Nothobranchius furzeri: one gene and its partners. The protein of the gene in region 1 purifies or fractionates together with the protein of each later gene. This does not show direct contact. Links are inferred from orthologs where the notes say so. Each region holds a gene or a part of one and is shown in the gene's direction. Other genes may lie near its edges.

The links.
Region 2: the proteins of rnf111 (region 1) and skila purify together in Homo sapiens (affinity purification with western blotting; 3 studies listed by BioGRID). This does not show direct contact. The link is inferred for Nothobranchius furzeri from reciprocal best matches to the Homo sapiens genes RNF111 and SKIL.
Region 3: the proteins of rnf111 (region 1) and skia purify together in Homo sapiens (affinity purification with western blotting, with the first as the bait; 3 studies listed by BioGRID). This does not show direct contact. The link is inferred for Nothobranchius furzeri from reciprocal best matches to the Homo sapiens genes RNF111 and SKI.

Annotation. Positions count from the first base shown.
Region 1 is NC_091749.1:59,532,172-59,535,823, reverse strand, and holds part of rnf111 (E3 ubiquitin-protein ligase Arkadia), read left to right. Parts: intron 1-204; 5' UTR 205-287; coding exon 288-1,161; intron 1,162-3,652. UniProt on the Homo sapiens protein: E3 ubiquitin-protein ligase. Required for mesoderm patterning during embryonic development. Acts as an enhancer of the transcriptional responses of the SMAD2/SMAD3 effectors, which are activated downstream of BMP.
Region 2 is NC_091751.1:45,646,480-45,650,131, forward strand, and holds part of skila (ski-like protein), read left to right. Parts: intron 1-105; coding exon 106-201; intron 202-778; coding exon 779-867; intron 868-2,116; coding exon 2,117-2,259; intron 2,260-3,652. UniProt on the Homo sapiens protein: May have regulatory role in cell division or differentiation in response to extracellular signals.
Region 3 is NC_091755.1:44,987,243-44,990,994, forward strand, and holds the start of skia (v-ski avian sarcoma viral oncogene homolog a), read left to right. Parts: upstream 1-1,511; 5' UTR 1,512-1,889; coding exon 1,890-2,795; intron 2,796-3,752. UniProt on the Homo sapiens protein: May play a role in terminal differentiation of skeletal muscle cells but not in the determination of cells to the myogenic lineage. Functions as a repressor of TGF-beta signaling.

The DNA of each region.
Region 1 (3,652 bases):
TCTGACTCTGAAAGGCGTGATACAAGTGCGGGTCATTTATCAAGTCTTGTTGATCACTTGGTTAAAGATGAGAAGTATTAACTTTGAACTCCCAATTATCAGACTATGTTTTATAAGAAGCACGTGACATTCTTTAGTTGTTTTCTTGCCATCGTGAGAGGTCTTTCCATCTATTGACTGCTTCTTTTTTCCCATTTTTCCTAGATTTTATGAAATGTAGTGGAACGAAGTGAAGCGACTAACGTGAGTGTGCTTGGTGTTTGCCCTGCGAGGACAGACCTGCCACCATGAAGAGTGAGGTGCCATCTGAGGCCACTAGCAGACGGGATCACCTGAAGGAGCCACTGGTAAACCCAGAGTCCATGGAGGGAGCCAAGAACTTCCCTAACAACATGGAGGTCCTCGGAAAGGCAGGCAGTGATTTTGAAACCTTGTGTGAGTCCAGGCACCGGCCCTTGAGAGACACAGGGACCCACAGGGACTCAGAAAGGAGCCTGCCTGGACGTAGGAAAAGAAAAGGCCAGCAGGCCGGGCCGTCAGACTGCTCGCTAAAGGAGGACCACATCAATGAGGATCCACTGGCACCTCAGCGTGCCAGAATAGACCTTCTACAGCATCCCAGTGAGGATGAACATAACGAGTCCTCTTTTAGTGACTGTGCTTCCTCTCCATCATCTAGCCTTCGATTCGGGGACTCGGACACTCTGAGCTCAGATGATGAGGGAGAAGCTGGGGCATCAGTAGGCCAGCATAAGGCTCCTGCCCTTCCTACAGGGGGAGCCACTGAAGTTAGCCTGCGTCCTAGTTTGAGTCGAACTCGTGGTGGTCGCTCCCATAAGTGGGTGCGGCCCGAGGCAGAGCCCGTGTTGCTGAAGCGGCAGTGTTTGAGCAGTCGGCGGCCTCTGCAGAGGAAACGCTTTGTGAAAACAGCTCCAGGAGGAGGTCCGCGGACTCAAAAGCAGAAGGAGCGATTGCTGCTGCAGAGGAAGAAACGTGAAGTGATCGCAAGTAGGAAGTATGCCCTGCTCAACAGTAGTAGTAGTTCCAGTGAAGAGCTTAGCAGCGACTCATCCTCCCCGTCTTCCACTGAGGTGGAAGATGAGCTTTATGTAGATGTGAGCAGCACCAGCAGCCAGCCCAACAGTGCTACTGTAGCAACAGGTAACTACACAGGTTTATTATCTTCTGTCATGTGCATTCATTGTTGTTGTTTATGTTGTGTAAAAGAAGGTTTTTAAAATCAAGAAACAAGCATAAATCTCACAGAAATCACGGTCTTCCCCACTGCAGGAACAACACAGTCTAGCATCAGTTATCATATTTAATCTGAAACACATTAAGGCAGTATTGCATTCATATGCACTGAGACGGGGAAATGGTGACGACTAATGTTAGAGAATAGGTCAACATATTGTGCAGTGCACGGCGATGTTGATTAGTTATATAAAAAGGTTGTGACCGAGGTACTTTTATATATGAATTAACTCTTTTTTTTATTTCCCCTTACTGTCACTTACTGTATACATTTTATTTAGTTTTCCTTGTTGATTGAGGTCACAAACAACTTTGCTTCCTTGGTTCGTATCATGTAGTCCTACTCAACTCCCCCAGGTGAAGACCATCACACTTTTGGTTGTGTCAGCTCTGCTGTCTGACTCTGTTGTGTAGTAGTAATAAAAATACACGTTATGTCCGCTCACTTTCATGCAGCGGGGTAGTAGAGGACTATCCTAGGGTCATTAAAGTTTTGGTTTGTGCGTTGGATAAAAGGGTTATGAATGTTAGCTGAAAAGTTATAGCTGCACCCCTTGCTTTCAACAGCTGCCCTCTGGGTACCTATTGGAAAAGCAGGTTTGCACAGCTTTTCATTCCAAACCTGAATCTGAGCTCTCATTTTAAGCTCTAGATCAATAAAAGCTCCACCTTGACCTTGGCTCATTTATCTTTTCTGTAGCCTTTTAGCCCCTGTAGCATTTCCATTGCTATGGCCCAAGGGAGAAATGGAAAGTTATTTGTTGTCACCGTGTGGTAAGAGGCGGGTGGGAGAAAACTCTGCTGAGCAGCCGCCTTGGCACAAAAACACTGGGTCTCAGAGGAGAATATGGTATTTGTTTACTGCTGAGAAGCAAGTGATGAAACCTGCCTTCTAGATGTCCAGTACCTCAATGGGTGTGTCACACGTTCCCAAAAGCATCTAAATTATTGCAAAGTTGTAAAACAACCAAAATAACACCTACAAATCGTATGGCTTTAGTGTAAAATATGCAAAGGTAATTGTTTTGATTTGAATTAATCTTCAAAATTGGCTAAAGAGGTAAACATTGTGACATTTGCTCACAGTTGGGCGATGCTATCAGGAATACAACATGTCCTTTTATGTGAAAACAACTAATCAACAGGCTGCCTGCAGGGACCACGTTTTACATTGTAGTCTGTTCTGTTGCTAAAGTTAAGAATATTAGTGTTATGTGTTGTGTGACACACGCACGCCGCGCGCACACACACACACACACACACACACACACACACACACACACACACACTGGCTGCACCTCTTAACCAGCTTAACAGGAGGTGTTGTTAGTGTTGGTGCATGGAGGGGCAAGAAGCTAGATCTGCAGAGGGTGCTAAGCAGCAGCTCTCATGAGAGAGTCACCAAGGGGAAGCATGAACTTCACGAACAAACCATTTTGTGATGTGCACAATGACAGAGTATGCTTGAAAAGTGCACTTAAACTTAGCTAGGATGCAACGTAAGCTGCATTTTTAGTTTTTGTTAATTTTGAATAAATATTTCATATTGGGCTTTATTTTATAATGAAGTTAAAGACGTGTTTCCTTATTGTCACCAGATTAGTACTGTTCACAAATATAACAGCTTTCTCACAATGTAGGATGACAGTGGCATAGTGGACGATCACAGTAACATGCCTACGAGTTAGAGATGCTTGACTCATGCATCCTGTGCATGAGTCAGCAAGTCACACTTACACTGAGATTGTGACAATAATAAGAAACAGACACGCAGCTGTAAAAAAACAAAACAACTAAGACTTATAATGGCTGCGACTATGCTGCCTGGGTGTGCACCCAGGAGGGGGTTGCATGGAAGTTGATTTATGTAACTAGCATGTGTGGATAAGTCTGGGAAAAGACAACATTTGTCTTTTCAGTTTATGGCTTCTGTCCTGTTTTTAAAATAGATAAGATTTATTAAATGCCTGCAGGGATCACGTGTACGTGAAAATGTAGTGTTTAGACAAAACTATAGTTTGATATGAAAGCATTTATTTAGGTAATAACTTTTAACTCTAACTAAAATAAACTCTATAATAGGGCTGCACAATATATCGAAAAATTATCATCATCGCAATAACAGGACGTGCGATAAGCCCATCGCAAAACACTGCAAAAACAGCGATAAATGTTTGGTTCAAACATTTCCATCTGTGTCATACATCAGCTTTTTGTAAACCAGCTCTGTTTTTTACTCGGAAGTATTATTTGACCAATCAAATGTAGTCCTTCTGATATGCGGCCAATCAGATGGGTCCGTTCACGTAATACGCCCGCCCCCTACATAGACCCTTTTGGAACGCAACACCCGAAGAGTTTGCTGCGCCGCTCCCTTGTTCGTCATGCTGGCTCAGAG
Region 2 (3,652 bases), on another chromosome or scaffold:
CTCAGTCATTTATGGTTCTTCAAAAGTGTGATAACAAATCTATTCTGTGCTCTGTCCTTCTTTTGAGGATGGTTTGTTAGACTGTGTTGTCTTTTTGCCCTTCAGAAGTCAGGGGAGGAAGAGGAGATTCAGCTGAGGAAGTCCTCGGTAGATCTCTGCTCCGCCGGCGACAAGTTAGCCGAGGCTGAGCCTGCGAGAAAGGTCAGTAGTTGTTTCCTTTATTGTAAACATTCATGTGCCTTTCCATCACCCTCCTCCGCACACACACACACACACACACACACACACACACACACACAGGCCATCACACACAACAAAGTTCACCCCTTCTGCCCACCCTCCTTCACCCCACCGCAGCACACACAAGTTAACATGCAGAGAAGAAGCTCTTTATCTCGATTATCTTCTCTTCTGAGTCGTGCTCAGTGTCTCAGCTGATGCCTGATGGGTAATCCCTCACGCGCATCCCATCTATGCATGCATATATTAGCTTCATTAGATTATAGCTTCAAGAGATGGCACACATTCCCCTCTCCTCCTGCTGTTTGCTTTTATAATTGTGTGTGTGTGTGTGTGTGTGTGTGTGTGTGTGTGTGTGTGTGTGTGTGTGTGTGTGTGTGTGTGTGTGTGTGTGTGTGTGTGTGTGTGTGTGTGTGGTTCAGCTGCATTATAGTGATTCGTCTATTCAACCAGGAAGTTTATTAATAGATGAACACATTTTTCATCATAACGTTGTTTTTTTAATGTGATGTTTGTGTGTGTGTTTGGTTTTCTGCAGGGCAAACCGACTCCGCCCACTCTGGTGTTCAACCGTCTTTTCACAGACATCAAGGAGGAGCCAGGACACCCCACCCTGGTCCATCCCAGGTATTACACTCCACCTGTGTCCATTCATCTCCAACCAACGGTCAATCGAAGCAGGTTTTTTACAGTTTGTAGTAATGTGTTTTTCAAATGGCAGCAAATGAAGTGCTGCACAGACAGCCCAAAGGTTCAGTTGTGATCATTAAGATGTGATGGCTTTAGATACGATGGTGGCTAGCTTCTATGTGGTTGTCCGAGAGAAGATTAGAAGCTGCCATTGTAAACAACCCGGAACTTTGTTCACGTACAAGCCAGAAGCTGCACCTTTGGAAAAACATTGATCTGAGGTGGTTTTTCTACTCCTCTGTTAAGTTTCTGTTTGACTTTATTTTCATTTTCATCCTTTTTGTTTTTTCAAGATAATGCCGCCACTCTTCTGCTCTTTTTCCTGTGAGTCTTTCTTCCTCCTTCCTTTTTCTTTCCTTCCGGCTCTCATTTCCGTCCGCGGGTGGCACCACCATTTGTTTGAATATGGCTCAGTTTTAGCAAATCTTTAGCAATAATCTGCCCCAGATTAAAACCTGGAATTAGAGGGTTTATAGTGCTGTTACTACATGTGACCGGCCCTTGGCATGCTTTGTGAAGGCTTGCAGACATCAGACCAGACTAAATGGAGGAGGATTAACGCCGTGATCACCTGCCAGCATCTTGCTACTTCAAACCAGTCATTGTTTAAAATATAATAAAAGACCCTCAGATAACACTCAGTCATATTTAGTTTGCTGCAAACATCAAATCGATCTCATCTGGGTTGCTTGATGCTCCTGCAAACCTGCAGTCCGTCATTTTCGTCCACGTCAGAGGAAGACATGGTTGCTTTAGCGTTTCACGCAGAGGCCCACTGGGCTGTCAGGCTTAGCCTAGTTCACTGCTCAAGCCTCAGCGCTGTCTGGAGGGTCCTACTGACTGAACGGGGGAGGGGTCCAAAGCTAGAATAAACTGAACATGTTTTTTAATGGTTTCACTGCATCTCCAGGCAGTGCGTCTCTCCCAGTTGGACCACTACCTGGACATCAGTGATGAGCTGAAGGTCTGTTAAGAGTGAGATCCTGTCGACAGATCCTGTTTGTGCTCCCGACTTCAGATGTTGCTTTAAGTTAAAACTGATGCCAATCAAAGATTGTTCAGATACGTTCGTTGGACAGGGACATAAATCACCGATAGCCGTTCGATTAGAATACAGAGTACTAAAATCTTGTTAAACAAACCATTTCTAAGTGTCTCTTTCTCTCTGTGTGCTTCTTTGTGACAGCTACTACCTGTACACATACGATAAGATGGTGGCTCCCAACGTGTCGCTGAGGAGGGAGGCGGAGATGAGCCCGGAGATGCTCGGTGTGCTCCTCAAACATCACTACAGTCGCCGAATTCTGGGCCACGATGAGCCGCCCATGGGTCAGTAATGACACGCTCAACAACCATTAATTATAGGAGAGTAAAAAAAATCTGTCCAGTATAGAAAATGTGATTCCTAATGAGGATAAGTCTGAGAAGAATGATTTAATGTCACTTTCTTTGAAGGAAACTTGCTTATGCACCTTCTTGGTGGTCTAGTGGTAGAGTCCGCCCTGGGACTGGGAGATCGGAGTTCAAATCATACCTAAGATTTTAAAAATGCGACCCAATGCCTCCCTGCTTGACACTCAGCTTTAAGGGGTTGGTTTGAGGGGTTAAACCACCAAATAGTTCCCGAGGACAGCCGCTGCTGCAGCTCACCGCTCCCCCTGGGGAGCAGTTACACCAGTGTGTGATGATGACCAATGGAACTTGCTAAACTGGAAATTTTAAAATATTTAGTGTAAAAACTAGGCTATAAATAGTAAAAGGAAAGAATAATACAGAAAATTACCATAAATTTAAGAAAACCTGTAGAAAGATTTAGACAGTAAATAACACCAGAAATCAGGTAAAAGTCCAGTTTCATGTTCCTGTAATTAACTTTTACATGATTATTATTGCTGAGGAAATCTGATTTTACTTAATAACTTCTTTCTGAGCTTAAAAAATTTAGTAATTTATAATAATATCTATTAAACATTAGCAAATGTGCTTTAAAACTGCTGAGTCATCTGTGACCTTTAATATTTAGGTCGCTCTTTCCATCAGTAAACAAAGCCGTAAACACTGGGTATGAGTAATAAAGGCTTTAAACACACAACAACAAATCATTCCATGAAATTCAGATGAAATTATAAATATATACTGACATTTCCCAAATACTTACTCATTTACTTTTACCTGTAAATTATTCATCAGATATGTTTTGTCTGTTTGGACGACACATATATAAATATAATCTAAAATTCATTTTTTTGTTGTGTTTGACAAAAAAAAAAGCTTTTGTTTGAACAATTTTTTTTAATTCCTTATAAAATAGCGGGGAAAAAATAGATTTTTCCCCATTAAATCATTTCTAATTTGAGCTAGTGTGTGTGTGTGTGTGTGTGTGTGTGTGTGTGTGTGTGTGTGTGTGTGTGTGTGTGTGTGTGTGTGTGTGTGTGTATCAGACACAGTCTGACGCACATCTACTATAAATACTTGAAATCAATGCAGAAAGCAGCAGCTGTCTACATGCAGCATAAGCAGAAATGACTGACAGATCAAGTTCACACAACTCACTCAGAGTTGACACATGCTTACTGTAAACATACAGTACACACACACACACACACACACACACACACACACACACACACACACACACACACACACACACACACTTTGCAGCCTGAAGTGATGCACAGAATCGTTCGTTGACCTTCATATTACAGCTCTGCGGGCTCCTGAC
Region 3 (3,752 bases), on another chromosome or scaffold:
GTGTTTAGGAACACATGTAGGATGCGTTAATGGTTTCAGACACGTGGACGAAGAATTTCCAGCCAGATGCAACGCCGAGGATGCACAGGAAGTGCTACCTGTTGACACTGCTACTCATTTTAGGCCCGCTCTCAAAACTGGCTCTTCCACCCTTGCTCCCTTCAGCTGGGTGATCCCGACCAGGGGTGCGAGTGCGTAGAGTTTACTGATTGATCACGCCCCTTTTGTGCCCTTGATCCGCACTTCACCCACTTCAGTCCGCATGGATGTAAAATTATTTAAATAACTGTGTGAAAGTTGTTAGTGAAGGTTTTTTTAGTTTCACAGCGACCAGCATCCCCGCATGCGTTGCAATCGATGACACGATGCTCGCTGTCTCTACTCTGCAGTTATTAGCACACTTGTGCACCATGCAGCCTTACAGCACACTTCCTCCACGTGCACTCTGCTGAAGAGCACAGGGCGAGTACTGGGACTGGGCCTCGGCCTGTGTTTGTAAAAAATGTCATAAATGGTATAATGTGGGAATTTGTGGAAGCGTAATGGCTTCTGTACTTAAATAACACAAACTCCTGATATTTAAACAGTTTTAGACATGTTACACTTTAGCAGCACGCGGGTTAGCCTTTAGCTTAGCCTGTCCACAGAGCTAGCTGGTGAACTGATTTCTAAAAAGTCAGAAACACATTTAAAAAAACTAGATTAAAAAAACCATCATTAGATCTGTGAATGCAGCATTAGTGTTCCCCTGGCACTTGTACGCTGTGTGCGTGTGCGCGCGTGCGTGTCTGTGGGGGTGTGCGTGTGTGTGTGTCTGCGGCATGTGCGCCCCCCCTAGAAAAGTTGCTGCGGTTTGAATATTCAGTCAAACCACATATTGATCTTTATTCTAGACATAATTGTAAAACAAAATAAAAATTATACAATTAATGAGTAAATAAATAATCAGAATAAAAAAGAAATTCATGTTTCCGCTGCTCAACATTATAAAAAGTTTTTACCTCTGTAGGTGTTGTTTTTGTGAACACAGCAACAGGTGAATGAACCTAAAACAATAAATTTTAAATACATTTTGAATAACTGAAAAGTATTTTTCTGAAATGTTTGTAAAACTGAAGTTAAATGTTTTGGAGACGTAGAGCTTTTTAATAAAAATGAATAAAAGTGTAACACGTCGCCACCGGCTGAACTCTCCCAGAGTTTCCACTAACACCAGTTTGGTTTGCCACCCCAAAACTTTTTGGGCCATCTGGCCCCCCTATCTAAATTTTCTGGAGGCGCCCCTGGGTGTGTGCGCGTGGGGTGCGCGCGTGTGCGCGCGCGCGTGTTTCGCTGGAGGGGGTGACGGCTTGTTCCTGGAAGAGCCCGGTCGGCCTGCCCGCAGAGTCACTCACATTCCTGGCCGGGATTCAATGACTGAGCTAGACACACAAACACAGGGGGAGGGAGGGGGGAGGGCGCGAGGCAGAGGGGAGGAGGCAGCGCGCGCCAGCAGCATCTCCAGTCAGAGGGAAGTGCGGGGGCAGGCGGACCTGATCTCTGCGGTCCTCGACAGCAGAACCAACCTGAATTCGGGATCTGTGCTCGCGCGGGTTTGCCTCTCGTGTCCCGCTTCTGGAAGTTTCCACCGGAACTTTGCGCCCTGTGGAGTTCGGACTCCTGTCGGACATGGACGGGCTGCGACCCTCTGGCCGGTGTGCGCTCCGTAGGGCTGGCGCGGAGAGGACTGGTGTCTAGAGCGCTGCGCTCGGATTCATGTTGGATGAAGCTTCAGCAGCTCCACGCAGCTCTGGGACACCGCGGATTTACCAGCTCGAGAAACGGATCGACCCTCGCGACTCCCGGCCAGCCAGAAGAAGGATTTTCGCTTCCAAAGTTGTAGGAAAAACATGGAGACTGTAAGTCGGCAGAGCTTCCAGCCTCATCCGGGACTGCAGCAAACTCTGAAGCAGTTCCACCTCAGCTCCATGAGCTCTCTGGGCGGACCGGCGGCGTTCTCGGCCCGGTGGCAACATGAGCTCCTCTTCAAGAAGGACGGGAAGGAGCCCGAACCGGTCCTGCAGCATCTGCCGCAGCCCGTGATGCCCGGTCCGCTCTTCATCCCGTCGGACCGCTCCACGGAGAGGTGTGAGACGGTCCTGGAGGCGGAGACCATCTCCTGCTTCGTGGTCGGCGGGGAGAAGCGGCTGTGCCTGCCGCAGATCCTCAACACGGTGCTGCGGGACTTCACCCTGCAGCAGATCAACTCCGTGTGCGACGAGCTGCACATCTACTGCTCCCGATGCACGGCGGACCAGCTGGAGATCCTCAAAGTCATGGGGATCCTGCCCTTCTCGGCGCCGTCCTGCGGCCTCATCACCAAGACGGACGCCGAGCGGCTGTGCAACGCCCTGATCTACGGAGGCGCCTACCCGCCGCGCTGCAAGAAGGAGCTAGGCTCCGGGTCCTTGGAGCTGCAGCTCACCGACAGGAGCTTCAAGGTCTACCACGAGTGCTTCGGCAAGTGCAAGGGCTTGCTGGTGCCGGAGCTGTACTCCAGCCCCAACGCAGCCTGCATCCAGTGCATGGACTGCAGACTCATGTACCCGACCCACAAGTTCGTGGTGCACAGCCACAAGGCGCAGGAGAACCGGACGTGCCACTGGGGCTTCGACTCTGCCAACTGGAGGGCGTACATCCTCCTGGGTCAGGATTACACAGGGAAAGAGGAGAAGGTCCGCCTGGAGCAGCTCCTGGACGACATCAAGGAGAAGTTCGACTTCACCAACAAGTACAAGAGGAAAGCTTCATCCAGGGTGAGTCCGACCTCCTCATCTGGTTCTGGAGGAGGAGAACCCTTTTCTGTGTGGGTCCTGGTTAGCTCTGACTCAGTTAACCAGTGTGTGTGTGTGTGTGTGTGAGCCCGCATCATCACCCCAACCCCTCCATCACCATATTGCTGCTAATTGAGTCTCATCCAGCCTCTGGTGGCTATAAAGCCATTATTTACCCTCTGGTGTCGTTTTATTGGCTTGTACAGTAAATACAAGTGTGTGTGTGTGTGTGTGTGTGTGTGTGTGTGTGTGTGTGTGTGTGTGTGTGTGTGTGTGTGTGTGTGTGTGTGTGTGTGTGTGGTGTGATAAAGGTCCCCGTGGCCGTCTCCAGTCTGACTTCCTGTGCGGTTTAAGCTTTTTCTGCGTTTTTAGACCCGACGTTTTTGCACCAACGTGTTTGAACGCGGCTGCTTGGCGTGTTCCTGGTTCGGCCGCTGAGACGTAAAACTTCCAACACTTGAATCCTTCATTTTTCCTGGCAGACTGGCTGTTGTGTGTGTGTTTGGAGCCGTGGAGGTGTGAGGAGGAGTTTCTGGAGCCAGGCCCACCCCTCACAGCAAAAGCCCATTTGCATGAACTGTTACACATCGGTGGAGCGGATGAAGCGGGGTTTAGGAGTATTGTGGTGGAAACATAATATGATCCCAACAAAAGGGTCATTCAGCTAACACGGGACCACCCACCACCCCCACCGGTCCCTTCCTCCCGTCTGACCATCGGATTGAAACCGCAGCTCTTTCCTGGAGGCAGCCCTGTTGGTGGAGCTCAGAAAGCAACAGCAAACTGTTTACAAGCACTCCTCCTCCTCTCAGGCTGCTTTCAGAGGAATCTCGGGAAGAAAGGGAAAATCGGGACAACCTCTTGTAATCCAGACCAATGCCAAAGTCCTGCGTGAATGCCCACCGCTGGCACACACTTCCATTCAGGCGGGAGTGGGCA